Linked DNA regions of Daphnia pulex. The protein of the gene in region 2 binds, or shares a complex with, the protein of the main gene of each other region. Links are inferred from orthologs where the notes say so. Each region holds a gene or a part of one and is shown on either strand. Other genes may lie near its edges. The genes, in order: CCR4-NOT transcription complex subunit 11-like and CCR4-NOT transcription complex subunit 9-like.

The links.
Region 1: CCR4-NOT transcription complex subunit 9-like (region 2) and CCR4-NOT transcription complex subunit 11-like share a complex: the UniProt entries of both Homo sapiens proteins name them as parts of the CCR4-NOT complex. The link is inferred for Daphnia pulex from reciprocal best matches to the Homo sapiens genes CNOT9 and CNOT11.

The regions. Positions count from the first base shown.
Region 1 is NC_060019.1:7,971,393-7,975,453, forward strand, and holds CCR4-NOT transcription complex subunit 11-like, read right to left. Parts: upstream 2,583-4,061; 5' UTR 2,515-2,582; coding exon 2,474-2,514; intron 2,403-2,473; coding exon 2,314-2,402; intron 2,250-2,313; coding exon 2,101-2,249; intron 2,038-2,100; coding exon 1,927-2,037; intron 1,869-1,926; coding exon 1,356-1,868; intron 1,293-1,355; coding exon 987-1,292; intron 914-986; coding exon 692-913; 3' UTR 551-691; downstream 1-550. Other genes in the region: titin-like, read left to right, coding at 3,807-3,972. UniProt on the Homo sapiens protein: Component of the CCR4-NOT complex which is one of the major cellular mRNA deadenylases and is linked to various cellular processes including bulk mRNA degradation, miRNA-mediated repression, translational repression during translational initiation and general transcription regulation.
Region 2 is NC_060018.1:7,201,725-7,205,251, reverse strand, and holds CCR4-NOT transcription complex subunit 9-like, read right to left. Parts: upstream 2,042-3,527; 5' UTR 1,961-2,041; coding exon 1,845-1,960; intron 1,593-1,844; coding exon 990-1,592; intron 924-989; coding exon 743-923; 3' UTR 646-742; downstream 1-645. UniProt on the Homo sapiens protein: Component of the CCR4-NOT complex which is one of the major cellular mRNA deadenylases and is linked to various cellular processes including bulk mRNA degradation, miRNA-mediated repression, translational repression during translational initiation and general transcription regulation.

The DNA.
Region 1 (4,061 bases), on a different chromosome or scaffold from region 2:
AAAATTGTCCGTAAAGCTGGTTTTGTAAATCAGAGTCAGTAAACAAGTGAATGCTGAAATTTTGATAAACGATCGATCCATCCGATCTCCAAATGAGTTGCTTAACATTTTTTGTAGAGGCAACTTTTTCACCGATTGCCAGCTAGATTTTCATTTGTCAACCTATAACTTTCGAAACTTACAATTTCATCATTGACCTCAATTTTCATCAGCGATCTCCTACTCACATTCACTCATTAGCTCAGGTAGTACATCCCTTTGTACTTTGTAGCTTTCATTATCTGTTTTTCATGATTTTGTGCAATCGACCACACGTTAGGGGAAAATGGCAAAATGCATAATAATGTTACAAGAAGCGATAATCTTGAAGTTGACATGATGAACTAGATTTGCACTTCGTTGGTTTTTATTGTGTCCTAATTTAACTCCCGTTATTATTCTCTGCTTAAAACTAAAATTAAAACCGAAAACCTTACCCACCCTTAACTTCTTACGACGAATTTGTACACACTCTAATTTTTTCTAGAAAGGTTCAAACGATCAAAGAGCAAACAATTCGTGAATTGTATATATCATATTCAAAACTCTTCACCCTCGATTCCCATAGCATATACTGTATCAATAAGCCTGTTGTTTCAATAGTTGAGACGCGAACATACGATGCAACATCCAACAATAATAATAACGACTTTCATTCGCCTTTGCCTTTGGCAGTTGATGCCAGAGGTGATGCCTGAGGATTGAAGGAAGATGTCGAGAGTGAGGACAGCCCAGGAAAGGATGCGATGGATGAAGTGCTGTTGAGTCCACTCTGATCACCGCTGTCGAGTTGTTTGAGGAGACGAAACAAGGCAGCAGCTTCGCGAATTCGACTGAAACCTATACAGAATGCCTGCACTTCGATAAACAGCTCCTTAAGAAGATGAAAAATTAGACATTTTGTAAAGAAACGTTACAAACTTAACACGACATGATTTGTTCTTTACTTGGACGTTGATAATCTTATTGCGAATGAGGGACTGCAAGAAGACGCACACAAGTCGGACTAAACGATTCTGCATGTAACGATCTTTGATAGTTTCGCACGTTGATATGCAGTTGGAAATGTACAGATGGACAAATTCAGTTGGCAACTCAACAGCCGTCGTTAATCGGTTGACTACTTCCATCGAATGCAGAGACATTTCCATATTAACCAGCACGCTCAGATATTCCGTTATTTGGGAAGACTGCATCAGTCGAAGTAGCACCTCGATTGCGATGAGTGGATTGTTTTCTACCAAGGCAGGTAGCTGCGTCGAAAATAAGCATTATTCAAATGCGAAAATGCAAAACCAACAATCAAAATAGCTTACTTTGTTAGGAGTGATTCCTACGTGATAGACTAGACGAGAATCGCGCTCTAATTCGCTTAGCAATCTGTTTTGTTGTAGCAAAGTCAAAGAACCGGTGAAAGCTTGCGAAATTAATCGCCGAGCTTCCGAGCCGGCACCTCTAGGTATGCAAACTGTAGTGTCGTAAGCAATCATGTGGTCGACTTCCCCAATTGGATCGATCCAGACGAGTTCGTCCGGACAAAATAGAGGAGGAGCTAACCTCACAAACTCGGGACCCACAGATTCTTGTATAGCGGCGTTGGGACCAGTAATTAGAGCTTCTGCTGTCTTCTTGATTGCACTACTATCCGGAAGTATAGGGTCAAAGCCGGGACGAACATCAGGCATTGAAAGAACAGCAGGTATTCTGCTTTTGCTTGCTAAAGTGTACTCTGAAAGGCGCTCTGTCACACTTATTTGAAGGGCTGAAATATCAGCCATTGAATTGGTAGAGTCAAAATTCAATATTTGTCGGAGAGTTTTTTTGTACATCTGCAATAGCAGTTCAATTAAGCAAATAAAATCTATGACATTTTAAAACACTTCATACTTCTTTTTGAGGATTAGTAATGAGATGAGATAAATAAATCTTTTCTGGAGGACTGAGTTTCGGTAGTAGTCTATATGAATCTGGTCTCTTGGTTTGTAGAGGTTCATCAGCCTTAAAATGATTTTTAAAATATAACTTTACTAGTGAATGTACAACAACATAATATTTACTTACAAGAAGTTGCACAAAAATTGAGGAGAATGGATGGAAATTCTGAGCATCTGGTTTGAAAAGCTCATGTAGCAATAACACTGCAGCCAGACGTTGTGATGGTGAAGGAAGCAGATCAGCATTCTGAAGTAGCATAACTAATGCATTTCCAACTATTTGATTTTCAATTGTTAGTTAACGTATTTTTTTTCTAAAATCGAGTGGTTTTTATAATACCTTTAAAGTATTCTTGTTTATTAAAGACCCCCAACTGAGAAGCCAAGGCTTCGACACTCTGGTTAGCGACATTCTCGGCATCTAAGATACTTCAAAATTAAGACATTAGATACCTAGACCATTAAAACGAATAAATATGTTATTCTTAAAGTATAATTACGTAAGCAATTGATTCAAATCCTTGACAGACAATGCCGACATTTTCTTTATTTGTTATTTAATTATTTTCATTGAATGAATGCAAGGTTGCCAAGCCAAAATGATAACACAAAGCGGGTAATTTGCCCGTTATTTACAATTTTTGCGCTTTTTTATTGGACTCCATTCATTTATGAATTTGCTCGTTTTGCTGTTAGCGTCTAAATGTATTTAATTATTTATTTTTAGTGTTTACTTATTTTGATTTTGTGGCAAGAAGAACAGCAAGCAAGCAGACGAAAACCAGGCGTGAAACAACTGAAACCAAAAAATGAAAATCTCACACACGGGGAAATCGGTCCTGCTGAAATGCCTGAGAGTTCCGACTACAGTGAAAAAACACATGCACAGGATGGTAAGAAAGCGTTTATCAGCAATAGTTCAAAATGTTCAATGTTACTGTTTGTGGTCATGTAGAGATAAGTTTATAATATCACTTGAATATCTTGTACTGTGTTCAATGAAAGACTTCCTAGTCTTCTAGTATGCTTCTAGTTCTCGTCCAATTCACCTTGTACAGAATTCGACTGGCTCCTCCCGCTCCTCCAGATATTTACATGATTTTATCGGTTTTTCAACCTACTTTTTTCTGCTTAAAATGTAATCAAAAGATTAAAATAATGACACGCACGTAGATATTTCACTAGTTAGAAGTTGCATAATTTTAGTAAGGAAATCTTTTAATATTTTTATAATAATATGTTACTTCTTGTTCTTATTTTGAAAGTCGCACTATCCTAGAGTCGAAGCGACGTTGCAATACAATGGAAATTGGTTGAAGCCATCGAAAGGAAGAAACAAACCAACAAAACCAACAGATCAATGATAATTCAATATTGACTAGTGTTCCAACTCAGGTAAATTACAAGAGATACTGAAACCAAGCTTACTGGTGAATACTAATTTATTTATCATTCTTAATTTCTTTGAAAGGAAACCAACATTGCGAAGAACGGGAGCAGGAAGAGTACAGAGAAAGGGGAACGTGATATTTATATACTTGAGAGAGTTGAGCAAACGTGTTCTGCGTCGACGCGGATGGATCCGCCCTCCGGTACCAAGAGGGAAACTGAGAGCTGCCGCTTCCCCCGCTTGAATATAGTCGTGCGCAGTTCTCTCCGAGGATCAGTCGCGTTGATCGATGCCACAACTGCTGGATACAAAAAAGGGCGAAGAAATCTCTACGAAGCACAAACGCTCCTGCCGTATAATCATTATTCTGTCCCCTCTCTACTAACCGCTCTCAGTAGCTTCCGTGTGGGAGAAAGAGAGAGAGTGACAGAGTCTAAGAAAAAATGGCGCCGGAGTTCTCGAAAGGCAAAACGCTAGTGGTTTTGGCCATTGTGATCGGCTGTTTCGCCATCCTTTGGCCAAAAATCTTCTACCCCATGTTCCAGGGTCCTGTGGCACCGACAACTATAGAGCAGCAACCTCCTATAATCAAAGAGCGTGATCCGTCAGGTATGTATCGATCTTTTTAGCCTTTGTATTATACATATATCTATTCTCTTCCACCACGTTTAATTAAGATTGATGCACTGCAATCAAAA
Region 2 (3,527 bases):
CGTTTGAAGCTTTGATTCGCCATCTGTTGACCGCGTCTATAAACCTCCCTCAACACCACGTAGCGGCCAAAAAGCATACAATTCAAGGTTTTTTTGTTTCTATAAAATGTACAAAAATTCAGCTTGGAATCTCTTGGAATGTTCAGAGGGTGCGGGTTGCGCGAACGAACTTGATATTATTTATTTTCCATTCCCATTATTCATTAATTTTCAGACCTAATTTCTTATTTTACGGTAGTGCACTCAGATAATATTCGATTATTTGCAAAAATACAAAATAGTAAGTAATTTTTCAATACTTGGACCAATTAAAAATCTAAGACTTAAAAGTTAGGACCAAAAGCAATCGTGGCAGTTAACAAAAACATTTTTATCGTCACAAAATATATTGCAACAGAGATAGATAGCTTGAACCGTCTTGACACTACACCCGTGGCCCCGTGCTACATCTTTCGCCTTGTCTTTCGCGTTAGTAAATTGAACCTAATTTTTACATAACACTTCAAATTTATATTGCGTATTGATACTGAACAAAAATGAAATCACCGTTTCGTGTATCCTCAAATGAACATCTTATAAGTAAATTTAACATTCTCTGAAACACGTGTTTATAATTTATATAATAAGTCAGCAGAAACCGCAAAATTAGTTGCAATAAAAAACAATACAGCAAGTTTGTATTATAATTCTGATCGATTTTTCGCTGAAGACAAGACAAGAGCATTCATTCTTTTTTAACATTTCATGGTTGAGTCATTGAGGGCAAACCGGTGATTCGGGGATCTACCATTCCATTAGTAGTTTCCAAATTTTTTAGAAGTTGCGCCATCCACTGTTTAGTTGACTTATCATCTTTAAGACATGTTGAGAAAGTGCTATCACGCAACTGATCAGGTAGGCATTGTCGCAACGCTTCACGAGCCCTAGAAAATATAGTCGAATTTTATATCAATACGAAAATTCCTTTTTGGTTTTTGCAAGTCCCTTACCTTGGATTGTCAGAAAGACGAAGATAACATCGGACAACGTGCTTCAAAAGACGAGCTGACTGTTCTTTGGCCAATGATAAAACCATTTTACCAAGTATCATTGCAACATGAGAAAAGCGCTCATAAGTTTGACAAATGTAAGCCAGACCAGTTTCATCCAAGAGAATTTTTTGAAGTATGAAAGTTGCAACAGTCTTGGACAGTTCAGATCCAGTTTCCATTATCCTCAAACACAATGGAATTATCTCTGTTGTAAGAAGAAAGTTGATAACCTCCTGTTCATCAGTTTTAACTAGAGCACCAATGACTCCCAAACTGGTCAAACGAAGATATTCAAATGGCCGTGTCTTGCTCACAGTGTGCAAAAAAGGGTAGAGGAATAATGGGATGTGAGCTTGCAGAAAAGCAGATCTGGTTTCTTGGTGTGAAGCAACACATTGCAGAAGAGCAAGAGCATTGCAAACTCTGTTGGACTGTTGAGCAGTAAGAGTAGGTGGACTTACTGCTGGATAAATGCTTACAATATCTTGCAATAGAGCTGCTATAGTTCCAAATGAATGCCACAGCATAGGAGCCAAATCAGGAACAACTTCTCTCTTTTTACTGCATGGAAGAAATGAAAAATTAATAAAAAGCTAGTGGAAGACATCATGTCTCTAATGTTTGAAACAATCGACAAACATTTGAAAATGGAACCTTATCCCTAACAAGACAACACACTTGTTGCTGGTAGTTGGAATGTAAAAATGGCAAATGCTTTTTCAATAAAGCCGAATCCACAACAACAAGCCGGGACCTTTTGCTTCGATAAAGTGAAACAAATCCTAATCGCTTAGAAAAATTCGTATATTATACCTTAATTCAAAAAGAGCACTTTCACGAGTTTCAGGATTTGTTAATTCTGTAATCCATAGATAAATTTTTTCTCGGTCAACAGATTGCAAGTTGGATGTCACCAAAGAAGTCGCCATTTTTGAGTGGTTTTTTATTTTTTTATTGCTTATCCCAAACAAGGTCTACTTGATGTATGGCCATGAAGTGGTGTGGCCGAAATTCCTTTATGGAGGGAGGGATCAGGGAGGTGAATCATCGAGGTGCTAGTACCAGCATCTAGTGGTGCTTTCAAACATTGTTTCATAAGAAAAAAACCACTAAAAAACAAAGACAAACGCGCAGGTCGCAGGTAAGATTTAACAAGCGATCCACGAATCAAGTAGACCAAAATCCCGGAGCGGCTTTCCTGATCTAAATCCGGAAAAGGCATTAAAAATCTTAAAAAAATATAGCCATGTTCGTCTTCGCACGCCGGATTTACCTGCGTTTGCAGAATGACGATTTTCCTCCCCGTTTAGGAGTTATTTAGCTCTAAAGTTTGGTTTTTTTGAATTTTGTCAGAAAGTGGGGGGGCTTTGACATCCATTTTCGAAAAAGTGGGGGAGCTAGGGAAAAAACTAATTTTTTGAAAAGGTTTATTGCAATCTCAACCACCAAAATCCAAAAGGAATTTCCTTTCCGGATTTTATTGGTTGAGATATTACCAATTTAGTGAAAGGATTATTTAGCTGGTTTCCCTCCCTGGCTTGCAGCCATTTTTTCGTACGGTCCGCTGCGCTCCTGGCGGAAGCCAGCAGAAGGTCTTATATATCGGCCTTCACATTAGACCCATTGCATTTATACAGGCCTTCATATATAGTGAACCCAGATTTCTTATTGGCCGATGTATAAGACCTTCTGCTGGCTTCCGCCAGGAGCGCAGCGGACCGTACGAAAAAATGGTTGCAAGCCAGGGAGGGAAACCAGCTAAATAATCCTTTCACTAAATTGGTAATATCTCAACCAATAAAATCCGGAAAGGAAATTCCTTTTGGATTTTGGTGGTTGAGATTGCAATAAACCTTTTCAAAAAATTAGTTTTTTCCCTAGCTCCCCCACTTTTTCGAAAATGGATGTCAAAGCCCCCCCACTTTCTGACAAAATTCAATAAAACCAAACTTTAGACCTAAATAACTCCTAAACGGGGGGGAAAATCGTCATTCTGCAAACGCAGGTAAATCCGGCGTGCGAAGACGAACGTGGCTATATTTTTTTTAGATTTTTAATGCCTTTTCCGGATTTAGATCAGGAAAGCCGCTCCGGGATTTTGGTCTACTTGATTCGTGGATCGCTTGTTAAAATGAGGTGAGTAGCTTTCAATCAAGATATTTTCGTATAACCTCTTTTTTCCATCTTTAAAGTAGCGTATAGAAAATCTAATAAAAAATTTCGATGTCTGTCCAGGCTGTCTCCTAACGAACTCCCCGTCCGGCCGATATTGCCATGAAACTTCAGAGATATTCAGAGATGTTCGTCGGATTCTGAGGAAGACTTTAAGTTACTGAAATTCAAAATAACTTTATTTGTTTTTAACAACAACGTGAATTCAATCATGCTACAAAACTATCTGCCGGCATGCGGATCAAGGCTCTGGACTTAAGGAAGGGAGAGTCTAAAACAAACGGTAGATGTCGCTATATCCGAAACATTCTTTTATTTCATCTA